Linked DNA regions of Arabidopsis thaliana. The protein of the gene in region 3 interacts with the protein of the main gene of each other region in a pairwise test. Each region holds a gene or a part of one and is shown on either strand. Other genes may lie near its edges. The genes, in order: AT2G23093, AT2G38330, TPI and AT3G61260.

Region 1 (5,230 bases), on a different chromosome or scaffold from region 3:
ATGATTTCGAAGACGATGATATAAAGTAATAAGTGATCACCTGAATCGACATAGCTTTCTTGTTAGCTTCCAATTGGCTACCTATAAGAGAGATCAAATACAAAAATCATTAAGAAACACGATTTTACGGCTAAAATCTCCATCTTTGAAATTGACTAAAAACCCCTAAAATTGAATCTGGTTGTTACCTTTTCCTGCAGCCTTAGCCTTCTCCAAGTTTTTGGCACGAGCCATGGCTGATTTCTGTGCGTTTCCTCCACCCATCTTTCTGATCGATTAGAAGAAGAACTCAAACCCTAATTTTTCAGAAGAGGAAGAAGAGAAAAATACGAAATGGAATTTTTATGCCGACTCTAATGTGAAAAGATTTATATGAGAAAGAAAAAAACGATGCCACTTGATTCTTTTTCTGTAATGTCCACTTACATTTAATTCGCCTACTCACCAATCACCTAAAGTTATTTTGGATTCTAGATAATTCAACATAATGGGCCTTCGGACTTATTATCCATTTAAGGCCCGTTAAAACAAGAACCTTTAACGTTTAAACGACTGAGGTTTTTTTTTTTTTTTTGGTCTGAATAAATCAGTTGACCAACACACAAATATGTTTTCAATCTAAACCAAGAAAAAGATTCTTTTTTGCTAATTGATAACCTGTACAGTTTATCTTATTCAAAGGAATTGAGACACTCACTCATTCATGCAAAATGATAGGATTAATATTATTCAGGGAGTGAGTGGTTTATATTGTTAACTTCTAAAAAAACTAAAACAAAACAGAATTTACAATTAAAAAATTAAAAATAAAGGAAAATTATTTTTTTGTTGTTTTAGGACAGACTCTAGTAAATGTCAATTTTATTAGGTCTCTATAAGCTATAACCTACACGATTTATCTTCTTCAAAAAAAATGAGTCACTCACTCACACAAAATATGACCGCTTTTTATTGATTGCACGAGCTAACTACTACCTTGTCTATTGAGTATAAGAGAGCAAATGATGGTATAGCAATGAACATCGAGATGATACTAAGAAAGATTGTCCGAAGAATCTCGATAGTAGTTCGAGCTATCAAACTTTAGAGGTTTAACTCACACTAACGCTCGTTTAGTAGACAACTCGTCAGTCAATTGATTTCACCCGGCGAATGAGTGGTTTCTATTGTTAACTTCTAGAAGAATTCATTTTGATTTTTTCTAGATGATTCCGTAATTTTGACATCTAACATATGATTTCATCATATTCTTTTCGGCCAAAACATGATTCAGAAATTTTAACATAAATTCAAATTGGGCAAAAAATCAAAATTTGGAAATGATTATTTTGTAATTTCTGTTTTAAATTATTATTGTGTTTTGATGCATATGCTATAAATTTTATCTCAAAATTATGGCTTCTTGAAATCTGGATTTGAGAATCTTGCATATTTCATGTTAAACCTTGAAAAATATGCAACATCATGAATCCTCATTATCCATTAGTTCTCATAAAATCTTATCTATTTTACTGAAATTTCCTAAGTATTTGAAAGAAAAACCTACAAAATCATAATTTTCATCAACATCATGATAATTTGGATTTCGCACCAAATTCGAATTATCTTGAAAATTGAACTCCATAATCTTCTAGTATTTCCATTGGTCTCACAAAATCGTTGTGGCCAAGATAATGTTTTAGGATCGAAGAGTAATTAAAAGAGCGATAAATATTTTCTTAAAAAGATCTAAGAGAGATTCAAATATCTAAAAAATCAATTTTTCATATTTGATATACATCTTTGGCGATTAGTTGCGTTGTGGTGAATTCAAACATCTAGAAACAACCAACGTTAAATCTTTGCTATGAACTTGAATTTTTTTGTTGCACACACATATAAGAAAGAAAAAAAAAAGACTAAAAAACATGTTCAAAAAAATGTGAAAGGCGATGTCAATGGTCAAGAAATATTATACAAAAACAAATTGTAACAAAATTTTGTGTAGCTTACTTCAACTTAAGACTATTTTTTGGGTGGGATAGTTATTGGGCCTTTTGGCCTGATAATAATATTGGGCTTCATTTCTTTTTGTGCACCACTTACATCAGTCAAGATCTCAAATTCTCTCCGACGTAATTGAGTTTTTTTGTTTGTTCTTTTACTTCTTTCTCCGGCTGATTTACCGGTGAATTTTGGATCGATGGGTGTCGTTATTGAGACCTTTATTTGGGAACCAAGCTCAAGCTTCTTCATCTTCTTCTTCGTTTCCACATTTTTATCGATATCTCTGTTTCCTTACTTGGCCAAAAACAGAACTTTTGGTAGCTTTGATCATTCTATTTCCTCTTCTTTCGCTCGGTTCCAGAGATGGTTTCTAGCTATCTACACTCTCTCTTCAGGTACATCATTAGATTTCTTCAGTTGGGTCTACAGATTTTTATCTGTATCTATGGTGCTTTCAATTTCTGGTTTCGAAAGCTTTCAACTTTTGCCTTTTCTCGTCTATCAAAATGGATCCTTTGCTACAATTTGAATTCTTTGATTGGAATGTGGCAGTGATGGAAGGTTTATTGTCAGTGTATGGAGAATTGGAGTTAACAACTTATGGCTTAAGTAAAGAATCAATGGTGTTTTATCTCTGTGTTGGTTATTCGACCGCTCTTGTTCTTGGTCCTGTACTTGGTGTGGTTTCTGATCTCATGTAAGTAGCTTTTAGTAAAATGTTGATCAAAGTGTTTTCATTTTGTGCTAGTAATGATAAATACCGAAACTTTTGTAGAGGTCAGAAGAAAATTTGTCTACTCTATTGTGTCTTGCACCTTATTGTTGGTGTGTGGAAGAGGATTACAATGAGTCCTAGTGCTTGGTTTGCAAATGTTTTTCTCTCCCTTGCTGGTCTTGTATATTCATTTGGGTTTGAGACTTGGCTTGTTGTGGAACATGAAAAGGTATATGGATTGGTCATTGCATTTGAGTTTTTATTATTAGATAATCAATGTTCTGATTTTGTAATGATGTTCTGTGTCTTGTATCTTTGTAGCAAAGTCAGAGGAATGACTCGTTAAATGAGACATTCTGGTTGATGACTTTTCTTGAGTCTGCATCTTTAATTGGAGGTCAAGTTCTTGCAAATTGGCTTGTGGGTGAAAATGTTCAGGATGGGATTGCATTATCTGCTACGGCGTCTCTGCTCTTGTCTGTTGTGACTATTATTTGTATTGTCCAGACTGCAAAAGAGCCGTTGAAGACCCTTCCGTTTAGGGATTATTCCACAGCTTTCTATGCGTATGTTCTTGGTGGTAAGATTTTGTCTTCATCTATTCAGTTAAAATTCCTGAAAGAGTATACGCTAATCTTAGCTTGTTAATGTGATCAGACAAAAGAATATGGTTTCTGGGAACTTCACAAGCCTGTCTTCAGTTTTCCACTGCAGTCTTTTGGATTCTGTGGGCACCAACAATAGTGGTATGATTAAGCTTCCTAATATAATATTTGCAGTTGCTTGAACCAAATTTTATATTTCAGAAATCAAATTAGCAATGATGGTTACTGTCATTTGATGTTTAGGACCTCCAGTGATTCCCTAATTGGCCTTTAGATGATAAAATTATTGGTATTTATTTCTCGACAATGGAATGATTAAAATGAGTTATGTTTGTTTAGGCTGATGGGCGTGAAGTGAATCTGGGATTGATATATCCATGTTTCTTGGGTTCAAGAATGCTTGGGAGTACTGTATTCCCATGGCTAATGAGTGGACAATCATTGCTCCGGCTTGAAGATTGCTTAGTCTACATATACGCACTACTTGGGATAGTGTTTTCTATAGTAGCCTATGATTATCAGGTAACTTATTTGCTTGTTTCACAAAAGTGTACCAGTGAAAAACTTATTTGCTTCATATGGAAGGCCTCACGCATAAAAGACCATATCCTGCAGGAAATCCGAATCTTAGTAGTACTTTTCTGCTTATTTCATGGCTTTGCTGGACTGGCACTTCCTTTGCTTGCAAGATTAAGAACAATGTAATGCTCTTATATATTTTTCCTTATTATTCATCAGAGACATTCTTTGTTAGTAGAAGAACCTTTCTTCTCTGTTGTAACGGACTGTTATCTTTATTTATAGGTATGTACCAAATGAATTGCGTGGAGGGATGATAAGCCTCTCTCAAGTTCCAGCCAATGCAGCTATTTTGTTTTTCTTAATCCAGGTTTGTGCTATCAAAAACACAATTGTTAACCTATTTTGCTTCTGTTTCTGTTACCTTACCGATCTTAATATTGCAGAGAGGCTACTCTAACAAGATCGAGAACTCAACAATGATGGCTCTTGGTGCCATTTCTTTATTCACTGCATCTGGTTGTATATATATGTTGAGACGATGGGGAAAGTCACCACACCATGATTGGCACAAATTATGATCCTGAGTAACTCGTGGTCTCTGGTTATGATACTTATGCGGAAGCAGGACAAGGCAAAACGAAGATAAATCTACTGGAAACTCAAGTTGGTCTATGATCTTGTGTTAATGGTCTCGCTTCGATTTTGTAGCAGCATGAAGTGAGGAAACACAAAACCTTGGAAGTTCAAAGATGCAATGAAAGCAGTATAAGAGGTTTGATTATTAGTTTAAGAGGATTCTATTATTTTAAATGATTGTTTGATTCATGTCTTATTAAGATCATCTCCTTTGGACCTTTTAGGCATTATTGTTTTACTAGTAAATATGAATGAAATTTTTACAAGTTACAAGTCAAATCTGAATTATCTTCAATCATATGTTTGGTCTCTTATCCATTTGGTGGCAACCCATTTCTCACCCTTGATAACAGGACAGCTTCCATGTAGAGATGTCTGCAACAACAAACCCAAAATTCTGAGAAAGATCAAACATTTTATGTCTTAAATGAGGTTTTTGATTGTCAGGAACACTAACTTGATCGATCGTTCCATTTGGAAACAAATTGTAGAAGAAAATGGCGTCTCCTTGTCGCGGCTTTACTTTCAGACCAACACACTTCTCATAATCATATCTTCCATTCATATTTCTCCCATTCTGCTTCCACAAAACCATTCTGTTTTACAACTCAAAATCCCAACCATGTTAAATCGAAAGAAAGAAACAATGATTACCTCGAATGGGAACATCGTCTCTCCACCTTCTTCGACACTCGATAAGAACAATAGGAAAGTCACGACCTGCATTCATATGTTGAGCCATGAGTGGAGGATCAACAGATGGTAG
Region 2 (5,110 bases), on a different chromosome or scaffold from region 3:
AGGTGTTCGACAAAGGGTTTGGGGGAAATGGGTTGCTGAGATACGTGAACCAGTGAGTCACCGTGGTGCAAACTCTAGTCGTAGTAAACGGCTTTGGCTTGGCACGTTTGCTACTGCAGCTGAAGCTGCTTTGGCTTACGACAGAGCTGCTAGTGTCATGTACGGACCCTATGCCAGGTTAAATTTCCCGGAAGATTTGGGTGGGGGAAGGAAGAAGGACGAGGAGGCGGAAAGTTCGGGAGGCTATTGGTTGGAAACTAACAAAGCCGGTAATGGCGTGATTGAAACGGAAGGTGGAAAAGACTATGTAGTCTACAATGAAGACGCTATTGAGCTTGGCCATGACAAGACTCAGAATCCTATGACTGATAATGAAATAGTGAACCCAGCAGTGAAATCAGAGGAAGGTTACAGCTATGATCGATTCAAATTGGATAACGGATTGTTGTATAATGAACCTCAAAGCTCCAGTTATCACCAGGGAGGTGGATTCGATTCATATTTTGAGTATTTCAGATTCTAGCTTAGGATTTATGCTGCATCAATATACTATGACTATGAGACTATGTTTTTTACATTGTTAGTTTACTCCATTTTCATTTATCTTAACTTAAGAGTCACGCATCATACCGCAAAAAACAGTGATCCGCTTCATTCTGGCTTCTCTGGAGCAGACCATAGCATTTTCCATGGACCGGTTCTTGTCCCCAATCTGAAACATGACGCAGTATCCTTTTAAGAAAAATTTCGGATGGGTTGAAAACTTGAAACTAGAACGGTCTTTTTAATTAATTGTTTACCTCCAGGCTCCAGCAACCAACCGCAACGCCATGAAGAGGAACAAACCAGTCCAGATCCCGGCAAGGCCAAACGTTGGTGCAGCCACAAGCATGAACAAGGAAGATATGAATCCGACAATCACCTGTTCCAAAATGAGAAATAATCAACTTTTTCCAGGTGAAGAAAAGGGAGAATCAAACGACCAATTGATGAAGAAGGAAAAGGGACCATAGAATAAGCGGCAAATCCGAAGTCAGAGACACCATAATAGAGCCCATCCAAAACAAACGCTAGAGCATTCACCGGTTGAGATCCAGCCACAAACTGCATCCAGCCAACATTATTTAGATATTGTCTGAGACTACCCTTTTCAAACTCTTTCTGGATTAAAAGATAAGATCTTACTAAGGTCCCTGACAAAGCAATCTTTAAAACTTCTGAATCCGTTGTGAATAAGCTTGAAAATGGTTCGAAAGTGATGAACAATACAGCAGCCAAACCAGTTCCAGTTGCTAAACCTACCTACTTAAAAGATTGCAATTGTACATTATAACATCGAATATATAGGGTAGGATATAAACTAGGGATGTAATGAATTATGAATACGAACTTGAAGGACTCCGAAGAGAACTTCCCGGGCTTGTTTGTATTCTCCTTGAGAGTAAGTGGTGGCAAGAAGACTCTGAAAATAGAGGTAGAAAATATAAGTGAAAATCTTCTCCCCAAAAGGTAATCTTGGATCATGCTAATGGGATTCTTATATCACAGTAAATCTTGGTAGAGATTGTCTGTTTCGAAGATGATTTGCAAAAGATATTAGACCTGTGCAGCAATGGCTAAAGCATCGGTGAGTAAAGAGACAGCCAACCAGATTTCCAAGACGATTTGATGGCCAGCCATTTGAGTGGGTCCATTTTGAGCTGCTAACGAAGTAGCTAATGTGAATGGCACAAGCAAAGCCACCGTTCTACCAATGAGAAGCCCACCTAAGCATGAATCAATACATTTCATATAGTAGCCTTTCTGAATCGTTTAAAGAAAACTTGAAAATTTTAAGGAATTACCTGATTTGAGGTACTGGTTGGCTCTTCCCACTTTGATTTGAGGAGAGAGCAAAACTACATTCTCATTCAACTTCCATAGAAGAATAAATGCAATCAAGTATCTGAAGAAACGTTGACAAGTGAGAAACATAAGAAGCCACAAATTAAGATAGATATGCTTTACTAGAAAACGAGTCTATTACCACATTTTTGGACATACTCAGAAATCACAGTAGCAGCCGCAGCACCAGAGATACCAAAACCAAGGACAAATATCAGGATTGGATCCAATACCGCATTAAGTACATTCCCCGCAACTGTTGATATAGAGTTCACCATATTAGAAACATGTATGTGAAACTGCTAATGCATATATACGGTCTAGTGAGCTAATGCGCATATACTATTTATTTCCTCAGATCCATTCATGCATAAATACAAAAAAAATAGATGATTGTGCAATACTTGCCAACGGCATATAGAGGCGTTGTTGTGTCCTTGAAACCTCGAAAAGCTCCTTGCGCAGCCAATGCAACAACAATTGGTGGTGCACCATACGCTCGAAGTCTGAGGAACTGCTCTGCTGGTATCCGCATTGGTGAATCCTAAAAAAATTACAAACCGAGAAAGAAGAGCGATCAGCTATACAAAACTTCAAAGATAACAGCTTATATAAAAGAAGTTCAACGTGAGCTTAGAGACATTACAAAAGGTATAGCCATGACATCCATCAAGAAATCAGACCCGAGAGATAGCGCAATGGCCTCTGCAATACCAACTCCAGCAGCAAGAACTAATGAAGTTGAAACCGAAGGCAGCACTTTCTTGCCTTTAACACCAACAAATAAACAACAGATTCAAAGTAAAGAAACAATCTTTGAAGAAAACAATAAAAACATTTTTCATTATAAGCTTTAAGGAAAGTAAAATACTTGTTTCTATAGAATCATTATCATCCTTAGCAGCAATTGCTTGCTCCTCCGCAACAAACGATGTTGTGACATTTAGTAAAGGAACATTGAAGAGCTTCGACACCAAATTGAATACAGAAACTGACACTCCTACTGCAGCTAATTCCGCAGAACCTGTCACATTACACATATGAATGTTAAAAATGTGAACTTTCGAAAAATGTGAAATTGTTGAAACCAAGCAAAAAGTAAGTATTTACCAATATGGCCAACGAAGGCAGTGTCGACAAGAGATGTTATAGGATCAGCAGCTAAAGCTAATGCAGCAGGTAATGCAATTGACATTATCTCCATTCCAATTTTACCAATCCTAAACCCAAAAAAATCAAATACATTAGAAACCATTCAAAGTTGAATACAGAAGAAGCATTATTAGGCTAAGGTACGAACCCAGGATCCGGTTTGTGATCATGATCCGGTTTATTCTGTGAAGTCAGAGGATTCTGCTGCTTTTCCGGTCGCTGAGAAGAAGTGGAGACGGCTGGAGATTCATCGCGAGGAGATGATTTACAGACGATTGTTCTTCGAATGGATGAATTAGGGTTTCCAAAACGTGACGGCGATCGATGGGGAGAGAAACAGAAGGAGGTAGCGACCGCCGCCATTGCGGAGAACGAGAGACGGAGAAAAATCTCGGCGGAGGAGGAAGAAAGAGAGCCACATGTTGATGTTCACTCTTTTTATCTATCTCTACTCACTAACTGATTAAACGGTCACATGTCTAAACTAGCTGTACCTTATGGATGGGCCTTTAATGGGCTTTTTATTGGGCTTTTAAATAGCTTGTTTGTTTGTTACTTTGTTTTTTGTTTTTTTTTCTGCCAATGTTACACTTTGTATCTTTAAGATAGCTTCATCTTTTTTCTTTGTTGTGCCGTGACTCTCATATGTAAGTCATGAGTTTGATTCGTGTATTATCACTCACTTTCTCAATTTAGCAACAACTCAAAAGAAATATCTCTTTCTCCAGTTATCTTGTGACTTGGATTTGCATTTTTTTTATACACTTAAAATTTTGTTTAGTTGTTTTTTGAATGGATCCAAATTTGGATTATAGGTCCGCATATTTTGATTTTTGGGAGTATATTTGAAATCCGCATATCTAGTGTTCAAGAATCTTGATATAGAAAGTTGTAAGATCATTTGATATCCTAAAACTCAGAATTCTTTTTTTGGGTTCAAAAGCAATAACTAGTTCTTAAGAGCATATATTGGGAAAAAATAAAAATAAAGATCAAGGACGTGTTTCATGATTCAGCAGAGTTGGTTTTTGTTTTGTTTTTTGGGTTCAAAAGCAGAGTTGGATTTTAATAGATAAAGAAACATAGAGTACAAGAGTAAGGCATAGAATTGAAGTCAGCCAATTTACATCGAAAATTGGAGCGTTAGTTAAAAGAATTTATTGAGAGAGTTGCGACGCCGTGCAGCATCAGCAGAGCAGCCTCACATGACTTGCGGTCCCAGCAAATTACAGAAGAAGAAGACCTATCCTCTCTCTTTTTGAACAACCTGATTATGCACGTTGAAATACAGTAACACGTCTAACACTAGTATCATATTAAGTAAATAATACTAAATGGACCATATAACTCTTCATTCAACTTTATCAATAATGTAAGTTTGTAAGGTATTAATTAAATACCGGGGTTTACTTCTCCTATGATTATTTTATAACATTAGAATTTTGTAGTAGCATTAGGCTGTATTTTGAAAAGAAAAAACCTTTGTAATAGCATTACTATTTTACTCAGTAGTTAGAAGATGTGTTAGGAACTTGTATATGATTGGTCGGATCGATTACTGATTAAACCTTAAACCGTTGCTCATTGGTCTTTTTTATAACAATTCATAATATAACATATGAAAGAATGAAATACATATAATATATAGCTTGGGAACGCGTTCTCCTAAATTCCATACAACAGTTTGTCACTAAAATACCAAATTAGTAATTCTAAATACCAAATTATCCATTATTGACCAATACTGGTTATCATCCATTCCAAATTTAGATATAGACATACTTAGTGGCACAGGCTGTATACAACAGTTTGTCACTAAAATTCATTGTAAATGGCTACTTTCTCCTAAATTCAATACAACGTTTTACGTTGCAACCTTTGCAAAATATAATGATTTTTACAACGAAAATGAATACTACATATCCCAACGTTTTGACTATATTATAAATCCCAATGTTTGCAGAAAGTCACTGGACTACCAAGACAAACTAAATAGTTATTTAGTTTAAACAAGCGAGATGTATAACTTCTATATACAGAGCAACTATCTTTGGTTAGAACTCCGGACCATAAA
Region 3 (5,433 bases):
AAATAAGTCCAAGGTCAACTATATAATATAATACTCATAAAAATTCAATCCCTACTTTCTTAAATATTACTCAGAAATAAATAAAATATAAGTCACCAGAAATGTGGGTTGACTTGGGAGATAATACGTTATCACATTTGTAGCTGAGTCACATATTGTGGAGTTTTTATTGGCACTAGTTGGATTTTCGTGGTCGGATCAAAATCCATACACATTTTCATCATACTGAGTCCAATTTTTTAATAAATGGTTTGAACAATTCTGACATACGGGAGCTCTTATTTTGGACTTAACCGTCTCTTTTACATTATCACTTTAGTTCCACTGAGCCGTTTTACTCAAATTACATAAGCATTTTGTTTTCTACAAACATTGACATTCCTAATACAATGAGTTTCTCCATGAAATTTCTTTTCCTTTTTTACTCTCTACATAATAATTTCGTAATGTTGGACATTTTTCAAGATGATGACAATAAAGTTGAAAATAATAATGTTCTAAAAGCTAAAATGTCAAAAATGACAGACCAATAGGCAAAAAGCGATAAAAGGGAAAAAATAAAGTCATTTCCCACTTCTCCTGTATTCTCTCGTCATTTATTTAACAAGTAAAGCCATTTTCAAAGTGGTTGACAGCATGATTCAGAGATCAAGCATGACAAAATACCAAAGTCTAAAATGGAACAAACAACATATTATATAACACACAGGTTTATGATCGGACGACATTAGAAATAGGGGTTTGATCAAAAGGCCCGAGGGGTTATGAACTCCAAACACAGATTCTCTGAAGAGTTGAGAAGACTGTAAAAGGAAGGGATTTGCAAATTGCAAGTCCACAGCTAAATAAATGGCGAAGAAAATGATTGTTGCGTTCTCAAAACAATATAGTAAGAGAGAAACTTTTGCCAAATACAACTGAAGCAAAATGTATCATATCATAATACCAACTTATTCATTTTTTCAGAGTTGCGACTGGAAAAGCAAAGGACTTTTAAATTGCTTAATGAGCTCATTAGGCACTTTTCTTCACCTCTGCGGCCTTAATGATGTCGATAAACTCAGGCTGCAAAAAGACCAAGAATGAAAACATTAGTCATGGTTTTGAAAGAGACAAACGAAAGATATCATTACAAGAGAAACCATATTATATGTACCTTTAGAGAAGCACCACCGACCAAGAAACCATCAACATCGGCCTGTCCACCTAGCTCCTTGCAGTTACCACCATTGACGGATCCTGATAATAATTTGCATAATCAAGCTAAGTAACATAGAAAACTATATAGGGGTGTTTAATTAAAGATCGTGTTATCATCTATCTACCTCCATAAATGATGCGGGTTGTAGCAGCGACATCAGCACTCACGTTCTTGGCCAGCCATTTCCTCAGCTCATCGTGTACCTGTTCATAAACGAAACAAGCTCTCGTAAGGAAAACAGCATTGGTTTTCCTATTAAATCATGACCATATGCAACACGTTACAGTGCAACTGCGCATCGAGAACCACTTACTTCTTGAGCTTGGGCTGGGCTAGCGACCTTTCCGGTTCCAATGGCCCACACTGGTTCATAGGCTATGACAACATTTGACCAGTTTGTCACCCGATCTGCCATTACCAACAAAAAGAGTTTTTTAGCCAACAAATATTTCTGTGGGGTTTGAATCACACACTAAGGGAGTATAGTGCGTAGAAACGGGCATCACTATCATCAAAACAGGTCTCACTGTAAACGAGAACGAACTGAGATAGCAAAAAGAGATTAAATGTTTGACAATATACATACCGGCAATAGCCTTGGTCTGGGCAGCCACAACATCCATGGTCGATCCAGCTTCCCGCTCCTCAAGAGTCTCACCAACACAAGCAATCACTTTCAAACCTTGAGCAAGTGCATAGGCAACCTTGTCTCCGACGAACTACAAATGTAGGATAGAGGTCAAAAACCAAAATCATGAATTTAAAAGCTATTTGAGTCTCCAGAAAATTATTTTATCATGTAAAGTCACCAACCTCGCTTGATTCATTAAGGATTGCCCTCCTTTCAGAGTGACCAAGGATAACCCATGGAATATCCAAGTTCACAAGCATCTCCGCACTAAAACACACAAATTACACAATGCATAAGAGCAGGAAATACAGGCACCACAGAATATATCTTTTCTTCCTATGAAAGCATTCCATAGACAGGTAAATCATATTACACCTACTTGTCTAACCAGGCACGAATCCAATCATGGTCTTACTACCAACTACTAGTTGTTTTCTTAATCACTTAGGTTACACAATTCTTATAGGAAAGAAGATAAAGAAGAAGAACAGATGGAAAAATCGATTCGTTTATAAACACAATCATATTCATTTTCAAAACCATAAATATTTACTGCATGAAGCAATAATGGTAAAACAGCTTAAAGTATACACCAATGGTTAGAATCTCACCTCACTTCACCAGTGAAAGCACCTCCTTTCTTAACCCAACAGTTTTGTGCCGCAACAAAAAAGTCAGACCTCAATGTGCTCTTAACCAGGGGAAGAAAAACATATGGAGGGCTAACCACAACCTCTGCATTTAGTAAAATTTCATCAAATTATTAATACAAGAACAAACATACTTATAACTATCAACAAAGATAGAACCATAACAAGTATATGATAAAGAACATTTTAACTAACAACAAACACTAGATCTATCCATGGTTCCTAAGAAGCATAAACACTATAGAACATCGATGTACATTGAAACAGGTTTGTAATTGTATGCCCAAAATATTTGTCACTACTTAAGATTTCATAGACATGGAAATTAAAAAAAAAGCCATAATGTCGTCAAAGCAATTGAGATGCTACACATACCTACAACATCCTGTGAAGGAACCTGAGCTTCATTAAGAGTGTTCACAATCTTCTTCACCTCCTCAGCAGTTCCGTTCTATATAAGATTACAAATTCAAATATTAACATGTTAAAATAGTTTAACCAACAAAATTAACACACGGATCCACCAAAGCTAGAACACGAGATATCAATTGAAGAAAAATTCCTACTCAAAATTTTGACAAAAAAAAACAACTAAGATCCGGCATAGAATCGACAAATCTGAACCATATGCATTACAATTCAAATTCCACCGCTACAAATAATGAAAAAAACCTTAGATCTTAAGATCGGGATTTTCCGATCTCTTTGACTTGATCGGGGAAGGATCAAGTGACAAGACTAATAATAAGGTGCGCAATAGAAGGTAAAGATCACTTACACATTTCCAGTTGCCTCCGACGAAGAACTTTCTGGCCATTATCTCAAATTTTTTTCAGGCGATGATCACGAGAGTCACAGATACGACGACGATGGAGAGAGCTGAAAAGATTAGATCGATAGTGTTCAGTGGCCGTTGTCTCTCGCAGGGGTCACTCATATATATATAAATAAAAATATACTCTCAACATTTTAGATTGGAAAAGACGCATATGTCTAGGGTATATGAGAATATTCCCTGAACGATTAGGAAAGTTGAGGATATTAAAGTAAATTAGGAGGGAGGATGAAATATTATGGACGTGTTGGCCAAGGTTTGGTCGGTGTACCGGGTGGGGTGAATAATAAGAATAGACAACGGCGTGGATAGTGATGCTGTTGTATGGGCTTTAGGCCCATTAAAGCAAGCACATCAATAAAACCCAAGTTTGGTTAAAGGAAAGCCTATTGAGATGATTCTGAAACCAAATTATATTTGTATTCCCTTAAAGATAAATTCTGTATTACGCAATTCTTTCTTTTTTTTTCTTTTTTTTTTTTGGTAAAAGTTTAAATCGTATTATGCAATTCTATATTGTAATGCCCCTTCTTGGATACAAATAGTGTGGAGAAGGAGAAAACTGTTGTAAGTTCTCAAGTTAAACTACTAAACCACCATGAGAGCATTGAGCCGGCTCACTTCAAACATTGTGGCATACTTCAACAAACATATTGTTAGTCTAAAGGGCTATCGAGTGGCATCGATTATTTTATGTGATATCATTAAAAAGTAACAATGGTAATTTGTTATTGCAAAAAATAAGGATGGGATTTAATTAAAAAAATACAAAATTACGTGGTTTGTGTGTGTGTGCAATGAGTGTAACCATGTCATTGAAAATGACAATAAACTGTTAACAATGAGACATGGACGCGGATCTTCTTTTCCCAAAGAAAGCATAACAAATGGCTAAAGCGTGTCGGTAAAAGTTACTTCGAATCAGCTTCCTCAACAACATCTTCATACTTCGAATCTCTTTGACTTTGGTCCGTAGTGTTCAAACTCCAAACTATTCCTCCTACAAACACGTGTCCAATGGGCCAATGGCATTATCCCAAACCGCGTCGATCTCTCTTCTTTTTCTTTTCACTTAATATTTAACCATATACATTTCGTTGATACATCAATATTACTAATCGATTTTTTTTTTAGTTTTAAGTTTAGCAGTAAAAACTCAGATAGTCTCCTTTGACCTCATTAAGAACATCTTTTAATAAACGTATCCAAGAAAAAACAACACTCGATCTCTCTTTTGTTTTCTTAACTTCACTTTAGTTCCTTTTTTTCAAATATAGTTCATCCGTATCTGGATAAAATTAGGATTGTAAAATTACGATTAACAAGAAAGAGGTATATTTTTAGATTAAACTTGGATAGTATGAGTATTTACCAGCCAAAAACCATTAAAGAAAAAGATGACAAATTGATTATCCAAACAAAAGCAGACTCTATAATTAGCCAAATTAATTAACTAAAGTTTCCACGGTCACAACAAAATCCACTTTTTCAATAATTTACAACGGCCTAAATTTAAGCCGACGCACATGAAAAACAAAGACAACACAAACTTCTTCTTTTATTTTGCTTTCCACAAAATCCAGCTGTTCCTCACTAAAAATATACACACGTATACGCTATACAAAACGGTCATATCTATTAATTTTTATTATAAATACTTTCTCGATAAGAATAAAAAAATCTATTCGTCGTAATAATAAAAACACAACTCAAACGATTCACGGGTTTCACTTGGAATCGTTTGGTTTTCTCATTTCCGAAATATAAAAAGATGGCCAAAGCGCCACCGTCAATCTCTCTTCTCCTCCTCCTCTGCGCCGCCGTATTCCTCACCATCCCCGCCGTGATCTCCGCCATCGGTGTTAACTACGGAACTCTCGGAAACCTCCCACCACCGACTCAGGTGGCTAACTTTATCAAGACACAAACTTCGATTGATAGCGTCAAGATCTTCGATGTGAATCCCGATATCCTACGTGCCTTCGCTGGAACTGGTATCTCCGTCGTTGTCACCGTTCCTAACGGTGATATTCCGGCGTTGGCTAACGGAAGACAAGCTCGTCGGTGGGTTTCGGTTAACATTTTGCCGTTTCATCCTCAGACGAAGATTAAGTAT
Region 4 (4,114 bases), 2.1 Mb from region 3:
TTATTTCCTTTTTAACACTTGTTTTTCTTTTATTAATTATTTTAAAACTAATATTTTTTAAATTACTATTTAATTTTTAAATTTTGGATATGTATTAAATTTTTAAATTTTGTGTAAACTAATTTAGTTACGTAAAAGAACCGGATTTAGCATTCCGTCTTTTTTTGTTTGTAAGTATTGTGATTTCATTAAATTTAACACGTTTTCACATATTCAAAATTTAACACTTAAGGTTTTTCACAAGTAATATTATTAGTAAATTGTTTTCATTTTTAACTCAAAGTTTTTTACTATTAAAACTGTTTTTATTTTGAAATATGTTTTAGACATAAGTGTTAATTTAAAGATGTAAAAATAAAACTGATTTAGCATCATGTCCTTTTAGTCTGTAAGTTTTGTGTTATTAGTTCAACATTTTTTCATGTATTGTAAATCTCACATTTCGTTAGCTTTTAATGTTTTTCACAAATAATTTTCGAAGAAAATTGTTATAATTTAAACGAAATTAAATTTAAGTGTTACATTCAAAAATACGTTATAAACAAACTGAACTTAGGATCCCGTCCTTCGAATTTCTTTTGGTCCATTAGCTACTGTTATTAGTTGAAGAACTTTAGAAAATCTCCTCATATTCTTAATGACTTGAGTCATCAATCTTCTCTCCATGATGTGATGTGACAATGCTTGAGAAAATTGCGGAAAGAAAACAATGAAACATATTTTTCACTCTGATTGTCACACACAAAATCAATATACAAACAACATTACAAGCCATTAAAGAGAACAGAGAAATTTGATTACACTTTACAGTTACGAAGTCTTGAAACTTTGATTCGCAAATTCAAGATTAGAAACATCCACAAGTTGCCTTTGGAACAATTCCAGTGGCTCTGTATTTAGCAGCCGTTTCTTCTGCTTTAAGAACGTCTTCTCCACGCTTAGCTTCAATCATTGCTCTTCTCTCTTCTGCTTCCTTGTGAATCGCTGCAACCTTATTCTTCATCCTCTCTGCATACTCTGCTTTCTTCTTCTCTAGTTGCTCCTGCATTGAGAAAAAACTCACAAATTAACACTTCACTTCTCAATCACATTAAAACCGTTTCACCTCTCTATTGCTAAGTTTATTATACCTCGATTTTCTTGAGTTGCGCTTCGACAGCTGCTTTCTTGCTGTTTTCCCAAGCATGAACATCTGCAATCTTCTTCTCAGCTCTGTTTCATGTCAATAGTCAGCAAAATCAGGCAAAGAACATAAAAAAGCCAAAACCTAAAACCAGTGACGATAAAATAAAATGTCTTACTTGTTCTCTGCTTTGCTCTTTTCGCTTTCTTCCCACGCTCTGACGAAAGACAATCTCTTTTCCTTTGACAAATCAGCTAGCTTAACATCTACAAACCAAACAATGGAACTCAGAAACTTTAACAAACATTACATCCAGAAAGAAGTCACACAATTTTGTTTAAGCTCACCTCTATCGAGCGATGCAGACGCAGGTTTCGCCGGTGCAGGCTCTTCTACAGGTTCTGTAAAAAAATTCATTCCGTTAAAATTTCAAACATAACCAGCAAAATTGCCACAGAAGAGAGTCACAAGCAAACACATACAAAACATATGCATGGTTATGAACATAAAGCTACAATTTTTGGGTGCTTAATGACCATATACATTGAATTATACATCACAACAAAACTAAATTTACCAATCTCGAGACTTTAAATCGAAACGAATTCGAATTTAACTGTGCACTCTAATCGTATTTCAATGACAAATTCTATCTCTGGAGCAACCCAATCCTAATAACCAATAAAACCTAATTTTTAAAATACAGAACCAAGTTAACCCCAAAACCAATATTTCCTCGTCAAAGCAGAAGATTATCAGAGAACAGAATCCATAATTACATGCGTTAAGAGAAATTAACTTACTCTCAACAACAGTAAGGGCTTTGGAGTCATCGAAAATTTGCTCCGGAGGTGGGTTTTGAATTTTCTCCTCTGCAACGTCTTTCGTGACATCAGCCGGAGTCGGAGCTGGAGCTGGAGCCGGAATCTCTGCCGGAGCTGGAGCCGGTGTATCTGCTGGAGCAGGAGTCGTAACCTTCGCCGGAGATTCTGATTCTAACGCTATCTTCTGTTCCTCCGCCATAGTCGCCGCCTCTCAGCCGAAGAAATAGAGAGGAAAAAAGAAAACCAAATTAAAAACGAAATATGAAAAATTGAAGATATTATTTCCAAGCAACAGAAAGATGTTTATACGTATTAGCCGCGTTTTTTTGGGGTTAAAAATACCTTATTTTATTATCCGTTGATATATAAAGGCATCAGATCCTACGGTTATAAATCCATTTGTTGTGTATCCACGTGAACTGCGATGCAGCCGAACACAAAAATTCAGCTTGCCGACAGACAGGTAATGCGGTTAAACATATGCCACGTAAGCAAATGTCAATTTGTTTTCATTAGTAAATTGTTTTTCTGTTTAAATAATAATATGTCGGACGAAAGCGTGACGTGGAGGAAGACACGCTGGAGACAGATAAGATACTGAGTTGTTGTGACCCCACGCACTCTATTGGCGCGTGGATATTATCCATGTTTGTAGGAGCGCGTGTATAAGACGTGCCGTATAAGATGGGCCTAATTTATTGGGCTCGATTCATATTCTTTATTTAGAGGTTTTTAGGAAAGATCCAAAAGCTATCTGACAGGATTTGTTTTCCAAAAAGACTAAACTGATCCAAACTACTCCGAGATTCGCTCCGTAAATACACATTTGTTTTCTATCATTCTATATGATGCGGAAGCGTTAGTACAACTGTACAGATATCATAGTTTAAGTTCCATTACTAAACTAAGTCACTACTCACTAGACATCAAGCATAGAAGTTAGTAACTTTTAATGAAGCTCTTTTGATTTTACAAAAAAATTAGGGGAGATGTTAACACTTAACACAACACCTACCTATAACCAACACTGATATGATATCTTCCAAAATCCAAACCATGGACGTAAACCGATCTTAACCAACTGTTTCCATCTGAATAGGGATGAAGGTAAAATTGTTATGTCTAAGTGGGAAAAGCATGACTTCAGAAAAGGCCTAATCACATTCACAGCGTCAGTTATTAATATATCGCATACCTTATAAAACTTTGATTTGTGTGTTTAACTAGTGTTTGCTATCTTTAAAGAAGTCAATAAAAACAATTTAAAATGGCTTATATGGACAAAGATAAGAGTTAGTGACTGGAATGTGCCTAATTATCAAGTGCATCTTACATTATTGATCTTGTTGTACTTACTAAAACTAAAAGTGCAATTTGGCACGTCCACTCTCGTAGTTGGAGGTAGTTAGAAAATATTGACTTCTTAGACCGTGCCATGTTAATACCATTTAATGTTACTGGAAACAAATACTAATAAATAATACGTCACTTAAAACAAAATGTCTATACAAATACTATTAACATAAAACAAAATCTCTAGACCTGTATTACATCACATGCATCTCTTACTTATAAACAATAAACTTCTTTATTGTATGTTTTAGGGAATAAATATATGAGTTTGATGTCATATCATGTTTTTTTTTTTGTTATCTTCATACTTTTGTGTTGCGTTTCTGTTGATTCTCCTTTTATGTATCCTCTCGGCTCTCTCGTTAATCTTTTATTACATAAACTCGTGCATCAACATAAACACAAAACAGAAGCATGAAGATGAATAACAACGACGGCCAACATAATAAAACGGTGACATTTCCTCGAAAAAGCATCGTGAAGGCTACTGTTTTCATCGTCGTTCTATTCATTTCAGCTGCTATCTTAGACTTACTGGGCTATCTCGATTTCGTGGGTTTTAATATCACCTTACATTCTTGGTTTATCTTTAATATAAATCGCAGTAGTTAACGTTAATCATAATCATAATTTGTCTTATTGTTTTGTTTTATAGAATGCTTTTGCAGGTTTAAAGCTAACAACAAAGACAAAAGAACCAAATCCTTACGGATGCGACTTCGTACAGAACCAATCAAGTCAAACTCCTATCTCACAAAACCGCAAATCGAGATTAAACCCCAACAACAGTTCAAAATCATCCACGTGTCCTTCT

The links.
Region 1: the proteins of TPI (region 3) and AT2G23093 interact in a protein complementation assay, tested with the Arabidopsis thaliana proteins (one large-scale study listed by BioGRID).
Region 2: the proteins of TPI (region 3) and AT2G38330 interact in a protein complementation assay, tested with the Arabidopsis thaliana proteins (one large-scale study listed by BioGRID).
Region 4: the proteins of TPI (region 3) and AT3G61260 interact in a protein complementation assay, tested with the Arabidopsis thaliana proteins (one large-scale study listed by BioGRID).

What each region holds. Positions count from the first base shown.
Region 1 is NC_003071.7:9,830,011-9,835,240, forward strand, and holds AT2G23093 (Major facilitator superfamily protein), read left to right. Parts: upstream 1-2,021; 5' UTR 2,022-2,182; coding exon 2,183-2,381; intron 2,382-2,538; coding exon 2,539-2,683; intron 2,684-2,761; coding exon 2,762-2,930; intron 2,931-3,022; coding exon 3,023-3,281; intron 3,282-3,358; coding exon 3,359-3,447; intron 3,448-3,645; coding exon 3,646-3,828; intron 3,829-3,921; coding exon 3,922-4,007; intron 4,008-4,110; coding exon 4,111-4,195; intron 4,196-4,271; coding exon 4,272-4,406; 3' UTR 4,407-4,729; downstream 4,730-5,230. Other genes in the region: AT2G23090 (Uncharacterized protein family SERF), read right to left, coding at 41-81, 189-264; P4H13 (2-oxoglutarate (2OG) and Fe(II)-dependent oxygenase superfamily protein), read right to left, coding at 4,756-4,839, 4,922-5,041, 5,119-5,184.
Region 2 is NC_003071.7:16,062,860-16,067,969, reverse strand, and holds AT2G38330 (MATE efflux family protein), read right to left. Parts: upstream 3,468-5,110; 5' UTR 3,400-3,467; coding exon 3,185-3,399; intron 3,105-3,184; coding exon 2,995-3,104; intron 2,909-2,994; coding exon 2,756-2,908; intron 2,653-2,755; coding exon 2,531-2,652; intron 2,429-2,530; coding exon 2,293-2,428; intron 2,141-2,292; coding exon 2,044-2,140; intron 1,946-2,043; coding exon 1,845-1,945; intron 1,767-1,844; coding exon 1,603-1,766; intron 1,463-1,602; coding exon 1,391-1,462; intron 1,303-1,390; coding exon 1,186-1,302; intron 1,105-1,185; coding exon 1,009-1,104; intron 923-1,008; coding exon 801-922; intron 713-800; coding exon 652-712; 3' UTR 533-651; downstream 1-532. Other genes in the region: DREB19 (Integrase-type DNA-binding superfamily protein), read left to right, coding at 1-523.
Region 3 is NC_003074.8:20,551,660-20,557,092, reverse strand, and holds TPI (triosephosphate isomerase), read right to left. Parts: upstream 3,691-5,433; 5' UTR 3,300-3,690; coding exon 3,261-3,299; intron 2,934-3,260; coding exon 2,858-2,933; intron 2,568-2,857; coding exon 2,444-2,567; intron 2,100-2,443; coding exon 2,015-2,099; intron 1,921-2,014; coding exon 1,788-1,920; intron 1,610-1,787; coding exon 1,515-1,609; intron 1,405-1,514; coding exon 1,326-1,404; intron 1,240-1,325; coding exon 1,157-1,239; intron 1,066-1,156; coding exon 1,015-1,065; 3' UTR 533-1,014; downstream 1-532. Other genes in the region: AT3G55430 (O-Glycosyl hydrolases family 17 protein), read left to right, coding at 5,089-5,433.
Region 4 is NC_003074.8:22,674,556-22,678,669, forward strand, and holds AT3G61260 (Remorin family protein), read right to left. Parts: upstream 2,297-4,114; 5' UTR 2,147-2,296; coding exon 1,927-2,146; intron 1,525-1,926; coding exon 1,471-1,524; intron 1,390-1,470; coding exon 1,302-1,389; intron 1,213-1,301; coding exon 1,131-1,212; intron 1,043-1,130; coding exon 848-1,042; 3' UTR 506-847; downstream 1-505. Other genes in the region: AT3G61270 (O-glucosyltransferase rumi-like protein (DUF821)), read left to right, coding at 3,715-3,852, 3,956-4,114.